Arabidopsis thaliana: one gene and its partner. The protein of the gene in region 2 interacts with the protein of the main gene of each other region in a pairwise test. Each region holds a gene or a part of one and is shown on either strand. Other genes may lie near its edges.

The links. Proteins that work in one complex are often made in the same cells at the same time.
Region 1: the proteins of TCP10 (region 2) and AT4G37180 interact in binary tests that used the Arabidopsis thaliana proteins (3 or more experiments, as listed by UniProt).

Annotation. Positions count from the first base shown.
Region 1 is NC_003075.7:17,502,582-17,507,630, reverse strand, and holds AT4G37180 (Homeodomain-like superfamily protein), read right to left. Parts: upstream 3,068-5,049; 5' UTR 2,984-3,067; coding exon 2,758-2,983; intron 2,687-2,757; coding exon 2,505-2,686; intron 2,415-2,504; coding exon 2,099-2,414; intron 1,985-2,098; coding exon 1,908-1,984; coding exon of another isoform or gene 1,851-1,907; exon of another isoform or gene 1,815-1,850; coding exon 1,524-1,814; 3' UTR 1,127-1,523; downstream 1-1,126. Other genes in the region: AT4G37190 (plasma membrane, autoregulation-binding site, misato segment II, myosin-like, tubulin/FtsZ protein), read right to left, coding at 10-55, 143-244, 405-476.
Region 2 is NC_003071.7:13,219,412-13,224,690, forward strand, and holds TCP10 (TCP domain protein 10), read right to left. Parts: upstream 3,199-5,279; 5' UTR 2,659-3,198; coding exon 1,573-2,658; 3' UTR 1,567-1,572; intron 1,452-1,566; 3' UTR 1,067-1,451; downstream 1-1,066. UniProt on the Arabidopsis thaliana protein: Plays a pivotal role in the control of morphogenesis of shoot organs by negatively regulating the expression of boundary-specific genes such as CUC genes, probably through the induction of miRNA (e.g. miR164). Participates in ovule development.

The sequences.
Region 1 (5,049 bases), on a different chromosome or scaffold from region 2:
GATTATTACCTTTTAAGTTGACTGAAACCAAACGAGGAGTGTATGTAGCAACCCCCTGTATAAATTTCCGCCACACAAATGTTGAGATTTGCAAAAACAAGTGAGATTGATCAAAGTCAACGAAATATCAATCATCTCTCACCTGCTGGGTCTCACCGGAGCGGTAGAGAACATCCATGTCGAGATTATGGTTTCTAAAGATTGGATCGCTTTCAGGGTCACTAGCCAATCCGAGCAATTCATCCTACATTTCAAGTAAAAGTTCTCAACTTTAGCAAACCCAATCGATTTATAGCAAAAAAGACAAACACTTTTGTAATGAAAAACAGAGACAGACAAAACCCAGAATCCATTGTTAAAAGAATCGGAGCAGAGAGTTCAACAGGAGGTTTTGCTTCTCTAACCTGGAAATTCCAAAAGTGAGAGCCAACAAAGTTTGCGAATTCTCCAACTTGAATCGTCACAATTTCTCTCATGGTTGTTTGATTGGAGACTTGAAAGAAACTAAGCAAAAGGTCGGTTCTTAGCTCACAGCGTAAGAGACTAAGAGCTCCGGTGATTGCTTAAACCCTCGTCGAGCCTAGATTTGTAAAAGAGTTTGAGAATGTTGATGAAGACGGAGAGGCGGCCCCGTGAGGCCCAGAGACCACAAAACCACATAAATTGACTCGAAATAACCGGGTGAATAAACCGGTTGGGTTTAGAAACTGAATCGACCGAACCAATTTGAACAAATATTCCATTGCCGCTTAAATGTCTTTAGTATATACACTCATTAATTGTGAAAAGCAGAGAGTAACTATTTGAATTTTTGAATAAAAATAACAAATTTGAAGAAAATTATGTCAAAAGATAAATATCTACCCTATACTATTGGCTAATGTATGTTACATGGTGCAAGAAGCTTTATCCACAAAACATGCAAATCTCGTGGAAGTAAACTATTCATCAAATCACTAATCAGTGAGTAGATTTTTTCTATATACATTGTCAATTCCTTCAATAGTGAAAATAAATCTTGTCGTTTTTCAGACGAAAAATCTTATCTTTTCGTACGATTTTATGCAATAAAAGATTCTTATTTTTTTTCCCCTTACTTATTCTCTCAGATTACGTAGATTTGTAGAAAACGATGAGTTACAGAAAGAGACAAAGATTGTGATGTTTCTTCATCCTCTGTTTTCGAAGGTAAAAGGTAATTAGTATGACGAGCTGGTAAAACTAAACAAATGACTCCTTCATTCACATGGTTGAGACTGTAATAAGTATAAAAACAAAATCTTTGATATATGAGTTTATCTTACTTATGAAGTAAAAAAAAAAAAAAAAAAAAAACACAGAGGATTTCGAACACTCTTCTCTATCTATTTCCTCTTGCAAAAACAAACCCTACTTTTTGCTCAAAATCCTCTTCCTTATTTCAACTCTCATGTTTACATCTACAAAAACTCCCGAACAAACTCAAAGTTTTGAGCATATATAACATAAGTTGGTAAAGATTATATCATTCACTATGCAGACTTTCAAAGCTCAAGATCCAACACTTGTCTCTTCTTCTTTGTTTCATCATTTCTACAGCTACTACGTCCATCAGACTTCTCCTCCTCTTCATCCTCCTCCTCCTCATCTTCCTCTGAGCTATGACCAACATTACTACTGAACAACCCTCTTGCAACAAGTGGGCTTTGTGGCGAATCCGACCTCGACAAACTTATTAAGCTCTGCGATTCTCTCTCTAACACACCTGGCTGATCCGACGATGACAAAGTCTTTGTCGGATGCAGCGGATGCTTACGGATATGCATTCTATATTTCTGCAATAACAATTTCATTTCACCGCACTGTCAAAATCATTCATTCATCCACACATCAAAGTTTAAGTTACTGTAAAAGATGAGAACTTTTACTTGTAAATGGCTCTTGACTTCATCATTGGTTAAACCATCAACTTTCATCAAATCTCTAATCTGCTTTGGTGTAGCAACTGTCTCACAACAACAACAACAACAACAACAACAACAATACAAAACAATCTCAGTATAATCAATCAATCAAATCTAAAGCAAAGTTTGATCCTTTACTAAGGTTAAGGACTAACCTTGTGGCCCTCCAAGCCTATGAAGAGCATCAACAAATTTACGGTGAAGTTCCTGTGACCATCTCCTTCTCTGCTCTTTCTTCTGAATGTGATGACTCTGTGAAGAAGGTTTATTGAATTGATGATGATGATGACTCTGCTCAATTCTGCTATAATCCATCATCATCTCTGATGTTGGAGTCATGAGAGACAGAGGAGCTGGTGGTGGAGGAGGTGGGGGACGGTTAAATGGCATAAATACCCCTCCTTGATTAGGGTAATTACATGTCTGAAATGGGTTCTGACTCACACACCGATCTTCTTCTTCTTCATTTGTCTGTCAAAACATGATCATAAGGTCAACAAGATCAATCACACAACATATGATTCTTCACAAAACATAAAAAGGGTTGCTTTTTGATCGTACCGATCGGAATTGGGAATTAGGGTTCGAGATCCATAACTGGGCAGAGCTCATCCAGCTCTTCTTATCAGTTTCCGGTTTTGCCCTTTCAACATCATCGAATTTCCCATTAGATGCCATCAGTGATAACCCTTTTCTAGCCTCATCCTTCAACGCCCCAATCGCTACACAGAGAAAAACAATCTCTTTAAACAAAAACACGAATCGATTAGAGAAGATAAAAAAAAGAAAAGGAGAGAATTTTAATAAAAGATACCTTCGTTCAATAAGAGCATGCATAAAGGGAGTTCTCGTTTAAAAACATCGATTTTGTTCCTTTCTTCCTCTAATTTTCCGACATAACCATCGATTTCAGACAGTTTGGAATGATTGTCTTTGATCCTCGACACTTCATCGAGAAATTGAGATAAGGGTTTTGGTAAAGAGTAGATAGACAAATTCAGATTAAGACCCATCCTTTGATCGGTTTCTGTTTGAACCATCGGACAAGATAAAGACAAAGAGAAGCAAGCTTAAAGAGGTATATATAGAAGAAGATGATGAAGATGCTGAAGAAGATAAATGAGAACAAAAAAAAAATGAGATTAGGGAAGAAGAAGAAGGACGCGGTGAACCGTAGCCGCTGTAAATAAGTGGAGACTTGAGGGTGTTTTTGTCAATATTAAAATTAGATTTATCTTTAAATGGAAGAAAGAATCTTTTTGTGATGCCCGTACACACGCGGCGAATCGTTACACTCACTTATATATATTTATTCTTCTCTTTTTTTATATTTTTCTTTAAGGATTTTTTTCCTTTTAATTCGGCTATTAATTATATTACAATTTTCAGTTTTGGGAAACTTGTTATTTATTTTGTTTTTAGTGCTCTTCTCATTCAAGATTCTCATATTCCTGTTATCCTGTATTTAATATTTTCCCAAATTAGTCTTAAAAAGAGGATTCTGAAGAATCTATAATATTTTACAAACACTATTTTCTGCATATGGAGTGGTTCAGGCTGTGAAATATCCCACTAAAATATTTATTAAAGATAATATAAAAAGAATCTGTTGAAAGACTAAAAATAAAATAAAGCAACTCAATTATTGGATAAAAAATTAAAAATAAGGAATTAACAAAATCAAACTATAACTAAGAAAGATCAAATTTATTTGTACAAAATTAACAATTTTCTACTTTTTTAAAGAAAAATCAAATTTTATTTTCCTACTTTAACAATTAAAAGTAGATAAGTTACACTTTTTTGGAGTAAAAAATTACGTTTGAAATAAAGAAGATTTAGACTACAACAAATATTGACTTTTTATAACCTAAATGTTATGAGCTTGAAAGTTATACATTTATAGTCAACATGATATGAGATTAAATGTTGAATATAAAAAAGGTATGTACCACATAGTACATGTAGCACATCGTCAGAAATAACTTTGCTAGACCAACAATACCGAATGGGCATAACCGTGTATGGCCTATGGGCTATGGATTCATGTATTTGTTATTGTATCTCAAACACAGAGCTATACTGAAATCTCGGTTTCATGGAATTCGAACCACTCGTTTAAAAACCGATAAAACATTCAAACTATACAATCGGGTTTAATTAAACGATGTTCTTAGATAGGCAAAACCACATGTACGTTTATGCAAGTAGTACGATACATAAATTCGTACTTCAGTTTGTACTACTATCATATAACTAGACTAAATTAGTAGAGCCGTATAAATAATTAATCTTTACTAGTATAGGACATATTCGCTTTAGTTTATCTTTTCGAATAGAAAAATTATACTAAATTTTGCTAAATTTTACTAAAAAATTATACTAAACATTTTACCCGGAAAAAAATTATACTAAATTTTGCTAACACAAGCTACTAGCTGTATTAGAAATCGACACATACGTATGTGATTTTAAAAGAGTGAAGTGGTCAAAAGATCTCTTTGTCTTTTCTTTATTTTTACCACACGCAACGTCCATTTACATTCACGGTGAGCATTAGTTTCAAGAAATCACGTAACCTTTGTGTTTATAAGTGCCCTTTTCATGGTTTAGTTGGTTTTGGTTATCGTATTATGAATATTTTTGTTCATTTCAGTGTTGATATTCTTTTCAAGAAACTAGGTTGATCATTCTTATGTAGCACCATTATTTCTTGCAAATTATTCCACTACTCATCCATTTTTTTTACTAATCAAAACTTATATCGTTCAAAAGGTGAATTATACTTAATATTATTATATGAAATAAAACTCAAGAATTCTCTAGCAAAATGAGAAAAAAGGATCTTTCGCATAATCCAATGTAAAAGATCCCAGTACGCAAAGCTACTTTATTCCATGCTTTTTCCTGCTAGCCAAATACAAATTTCTTTCAATTTTAAAATAGCATTCAATTTTTTCAAAATAACATTTGATTCCTCTAACAAAAAGATATTCCGAAACACAGTAGCATGTAAAATGCCTAGGACCTATAAACAATAAAGACCACAAGGAATCTAACGGACGGACCAAAAGAAACGGCTCACTGTTAGCCAACTATACCAGGA
Region 2 (5,279 bases):
TCACTGCTTATGACTAGGCAAGTTATCCACAATTTCGTATGTACTATGTATCTTGGATTTTATGTTCAATGAAAATTCATCCATTTCATTGTCTATCAAAGCTAAATACAAAGTTATGGCTCTTGGAATTTGTGAACATGTTTGGATTGCCTATATTATGTAAATATATATTTTGGTTTTATATTATGTAAATATATAAAGCATGCTTCTTATGCTCTCTCTGTGTACTCTACAGTGACAACACTTTAGCTCTTCATATTGCTCGGAATCTTATTTTCACGAAAAAAACTAAACACAGAGACATATATTTTCATATTGTTTGGCGTATCCGATATAGTTTTATGAAGGGTGTTTGATTTTGATTGTACCGGTTTGCTCTACCGCATTCCTGTCTGTTGGTTTAGGTTTGTTGGGTTACACTTACATATAGTACAATCCTTTTGTAACAAAACTGTAGATGGAAGTTGTAATCCTTTTGTTGAACTCTTCTAATAATCCAAGCACAATCCATAATCAAAAGGCCAAAGTAGTCATTCTCGCAGTAGATGACTTTTAAAAGTACGAACATTCTGTAGCTTTTAACGTCTTGTATAAAAATGATGATCATCGTTGGGAAAAATATTAATGATCATCATGTGACAACAAAGTACAAACTCCTTTAACCTAAATATATTATCATGTATTTCATCAAACCAAATATATGTACATATATATATACTATATGTAAAAGTGCCAAAAAGTGATAAATGTCATTCTCTATATAGCCCGCCTATCTATATGACTAAAACAATTATTTCAAGATGAATTATAGAAAAATCTTCTGTCAAACCCAATTAGACCAAGTAAAGCAGACTAAACTATCGAGATCCTTTGGTATCACTGTCACAAAGCATTGAATACTCAATAGCAACTTTTTCATAAAAATCCCAAATTTGTAATAAATTTGACTTTTCTATTAAATAGTCGCAACTTTTTAGCAAGCTAAGCTATATTACAAAAGAAAATTGGTATCTGCACAGATGATAATGAACACCTTTTTCTTCATTACTCATGTAATACGACCTATGCTTTTAACGTTCTTCAATTACTCTTTACTTAACCGAAGAAATAGAAACCGCAAGTAAAAACCAGAAAATTCAAACTCACTCGTAGAACAAAAATATGAGATTACAATATCCCAGCCTAACGCCAGTACTAAACCAAAACACACATAAAACCCATCTTTTCAAATATCACAATCTTGATGATCAATGCAAAGATGATAAGAAACAAACAAGCAAAATTGAATAATAATAACAAACACTAAATGAGTAATAATAGTCTTGAATCATAAATATATGGATAGATGGTAATACTAATTAATATAGCGCTTACTCTAGCTCCATTCATCACATTAATTTCCTCCTTCTTGTTCAATGCATGTCATCATGAATTTGAACCTCCATGGTTGTCTGAAAGAAATACATGTGGTAATTTAATTATGAAAGATTTAATTATTGTCTGGTTTCTTGATTAATAACCTATTATACTTAAAATATATAAATACATTAAAAAGAAGAAGCAAACCTTAGTTTAGAGGTGTGAGTTTGGAGGAGAAGAAGAAGAGTTTGGTTGAGTAGCTTCTTCTCCGTGGAGTAGTCTTGTAGTGTTGGGGAAACTAAGGCCTTGCATCATCATCATCCCATGAGAACCATACTGTGATGATGAAGCAAACATCGAAGAAGCTTGATTCTGATGATGATGATGATCCGACGTCGTTTGATGATGATCCCAAGAACGAAACGAATGAGGGAATAAACTGGACTGAAGGGTACCCCTTTGTTGTTGTTGTTGTTGGCCACCAAGAAACACTTGTTGTTGCTGACTATTAAGCAATGTCATCATCGACGGTTGATGATGATGATGGTGAGGATGATGATTCACCATGAAACCACCATTACTCCTTTCTTCTTGTTCTTGTTGTTGATGTTCTGATGAGGATGATGACGTCATAGTTAAGTCGTGATGATTCCATCCAGAGATTCTCCCGAACGTGTCGAAATGAGTCGTGGTGAAATTGTTGGTCTCGGGAACTACGACTGTGTTGTTGTTCCCTTGAAATGGGTGAAGAGAGAGACCAAGATCTTGGCTAAGGTTTGGTGGTGGTGTTGTTGTTCTTGAGACCATGTTGTTGTCATCCTGATGAGGGTAGTTTTGGAAATTGATGTTTGTACCACCACCACCGTTTGTTGTTGTCGTCGCCGGGAAAAACGTTTTCATTGCGTCTTCAGGATCAAGATTGGCCGCCACGAACTGCGTTTGGTCATTGTTCTCTCTTTGGAAAACCAAAGTGGGAGATTCCGGTTTAGTATTCACCGGTTCTTGACGAGTAGTAGTAGTAGTAGTCTCCCCGAGTTCAAGCTTATCAATAGCGGTTTTGGCTTTCTTGATGAGCCAATCAACGGCTTTGCTAGGCCGGTCATAACCTAACCGGTCTTGCACATCGTAGAATTGAATCGCCGTGTGAGCTGAGAGTCTCACGCGCCGGTCACGTGGACCCTTTGATGTGAACACTTTGCTATGACGGTCTTTGCGTCCAGTGGCTCGGATTATGTGACCGCCTTGAACCTCAACTATCTCTCCTCCTCCTTCTCCGACGCTATATCCTTTAAGTCCCATTATTTTTTTACCTTTCAAAATGACATTCCAAGAGTTGTTTTAACTTGGAAGAAAAACTTGCGTGCCGTTTTTGTTGCCCACTTGCTTTGTTTACCTCTTCAAAATGCTTGCCGTTTTGTTGTTATTGTGGTGTTTGGTGTGTAGTGAGTTAATAACATCTGATGCAGGCTGGACACAGCTACCTGAAAGCTGCTACAAGAAGCAACTCTTCTATGCAGATCCCCAAAAGATCTGCCATGGCAGTCACAAGATTCAATGACCCAACATACCCAAATCAAAAAAGGGAAAAAATGAAGAAATATTTAGAAGAAAAGAGATTGGAATCTTTAGTCTAGGGTTTTCCCAAAGAGATGAGAATTTGGACAACAAAATTGATATTAAAAATAAAAGAGCGAGAGAGAGAGAGAGAGAGAGAGAGAGATGCTACTTTAATATATTGATATGTTTAGTTGGTCTAAAATCGAAGGACAAGAAGAAGAAGAGGAAAAAAAAGAGAGAGAGTATACTATTAGATTGTTGGTGGAAAGGATAGCAGAAGTTAAGGGTTCAGAATAGGAAAGTAAACTAAATAAATACCCTTTTGCTTTCAACCTTTTGTTCCTTATTATAAGATTCCTATTTCACATATCAACATGTGTCCTTGTTAAGTTCTTAGCCACATATTTGTTTATTTCAAATTTTTTTGTTACAGAAAAATTCCTCAATCATTATTCTTCAATCATGCGTGCCATATCGAATTCTTGAAACATACATAACTATATATATCATATAATAAGGAATATAGGAAAATTGAAAAACATCAATAAATGAACATATATCATATCTTAGTTACACCAATTTGTAATATTTTGTTTGGTTAATGTCAAATCCTCCTTCACTAATTAATTAAAACTTGAAAAGCATATGTTTCACACAACATACACACACATTGGTCGGCTTAGGATTACATGCTAATCAAAGTCGACAATGGAATAATTTGACTCTAGTATGATTTTTTTTTTTGGTAAGCTGAGGGGTGGCAATTGCCTACCCCAATTTATTAAGAACAAACTACAAAAAATTACAATAAAACAGCTCGAGGGAACTCTGTTCCATTAACATCTGCGAGCAAAAGTAAACGGACTCCCTCTGGGCATGCATCAAAACAATGAAGCCCTAGCGGCAAGGTAAAGGCATAGTTTGCTAACCCGTCAGCGAGACGGTTAGCTTCCCTATACACGTGTGACACACGGACTAACCAGTCCCTCGTAAAGAAGCCTTGGCACAACCGTACCAGGAAGGACAGCGGATGAGCGTTGCTTACCCCTGTGCTTAAAAAACCCACCACCAACTTGCAATCCAAGTCTAACTCCACTCGTCGAAACCCCTTGTCCCACGCAATGAGCAGCCCATAGTAGGCGCCCCATAACTCGGCTAATGGCGCTGCACAAGATCCAATGTTTAGTGCAAAACCACCTAGCCACTCCCCCTGCCCATTCCGGATGGCCCCTCCTGCCGCAGCCAGCCCGTGATTCCCACGGGACGCTCCATCCGTGGTAATTTTCACCCACCCATCGCTTGGAACCTGCCACCTGATCATTCTTTCCACCCGCACACCATTAGGCCGGTTACCAACAGCACCAACATGTACTCTCCTCACCTCCTCCGCCATGTCTTTGATGAACTTCAGCCTGTCCCGACAAATCTTTCGTTCCCCAAACACATCACAACACCTCCACTTCCAAGCCCACCAAATTCCCATACCAAAAAGAGTAGGCCAAATCCCCTTTACTGGATCCATATTTGTAAATAACCACTCCAATAAAGACTGGCTAAAAAACTCATGATGTCGTCTCAGTGGCAGCAACCGACGCCAAATCGGTTCCATAGCGGGGCAGTCACGCAACACATGGAGTATTGTTTCCTCGGCTCCATTACACACCGAACATATAGCATTCTCACTCAAATGGCGCCGGACTCTCTCCACATTAGTCATGATCACATTCTGGCTCACCAACCAAATAAACACCCGTACTCTCTCAGGCGTGATCAGCTTCCAGATTCTGTTAAAGAAGCTCCCCATATTCGGCCTGTCTCCAACGTCACCTTGTAGGAGGGAATACGCAGAGCGGACTGTGAAGGCCCCATCCTGTGTACCCTTCCATGATATCTCGTCTCCATTACCCAGAAAAACCTGAACCACAACCGAGAGCAACCGCCTCTTAACTGTCTCTGGCAGATACAAACCCAGAATTTCCAGGTTCCAACCTGATCCCGGCAACCAATAATCGGCTGCCACCTTTATTCTCTCCCCCTCCGGTATCATATCAGTCCCAAGCTCCACCAACGGCTCCTGCAACAGCCAGCGATCCAACCAGAACCTTATTGTGCACCCATCTCCAGGCACCCATCCAACGCCCTTAACCACCACTTCCCGGAGCCCTACTGCCACACTTCTCCACGTGGAGGACCATCTTGGTTGTGGTTTCAGCCAGCTAGTATCTTGTACTCCACCCACTTTGTACTTTTTGCGAACAACCCGTGCCCATAAGCTCTCTTTATCTTGAAGCAGACGCCACCCCACCTTGGCTACCAAGGCCTTATTCATATCACGAGCAGACCGTAATCCGATCCCTCCCTCA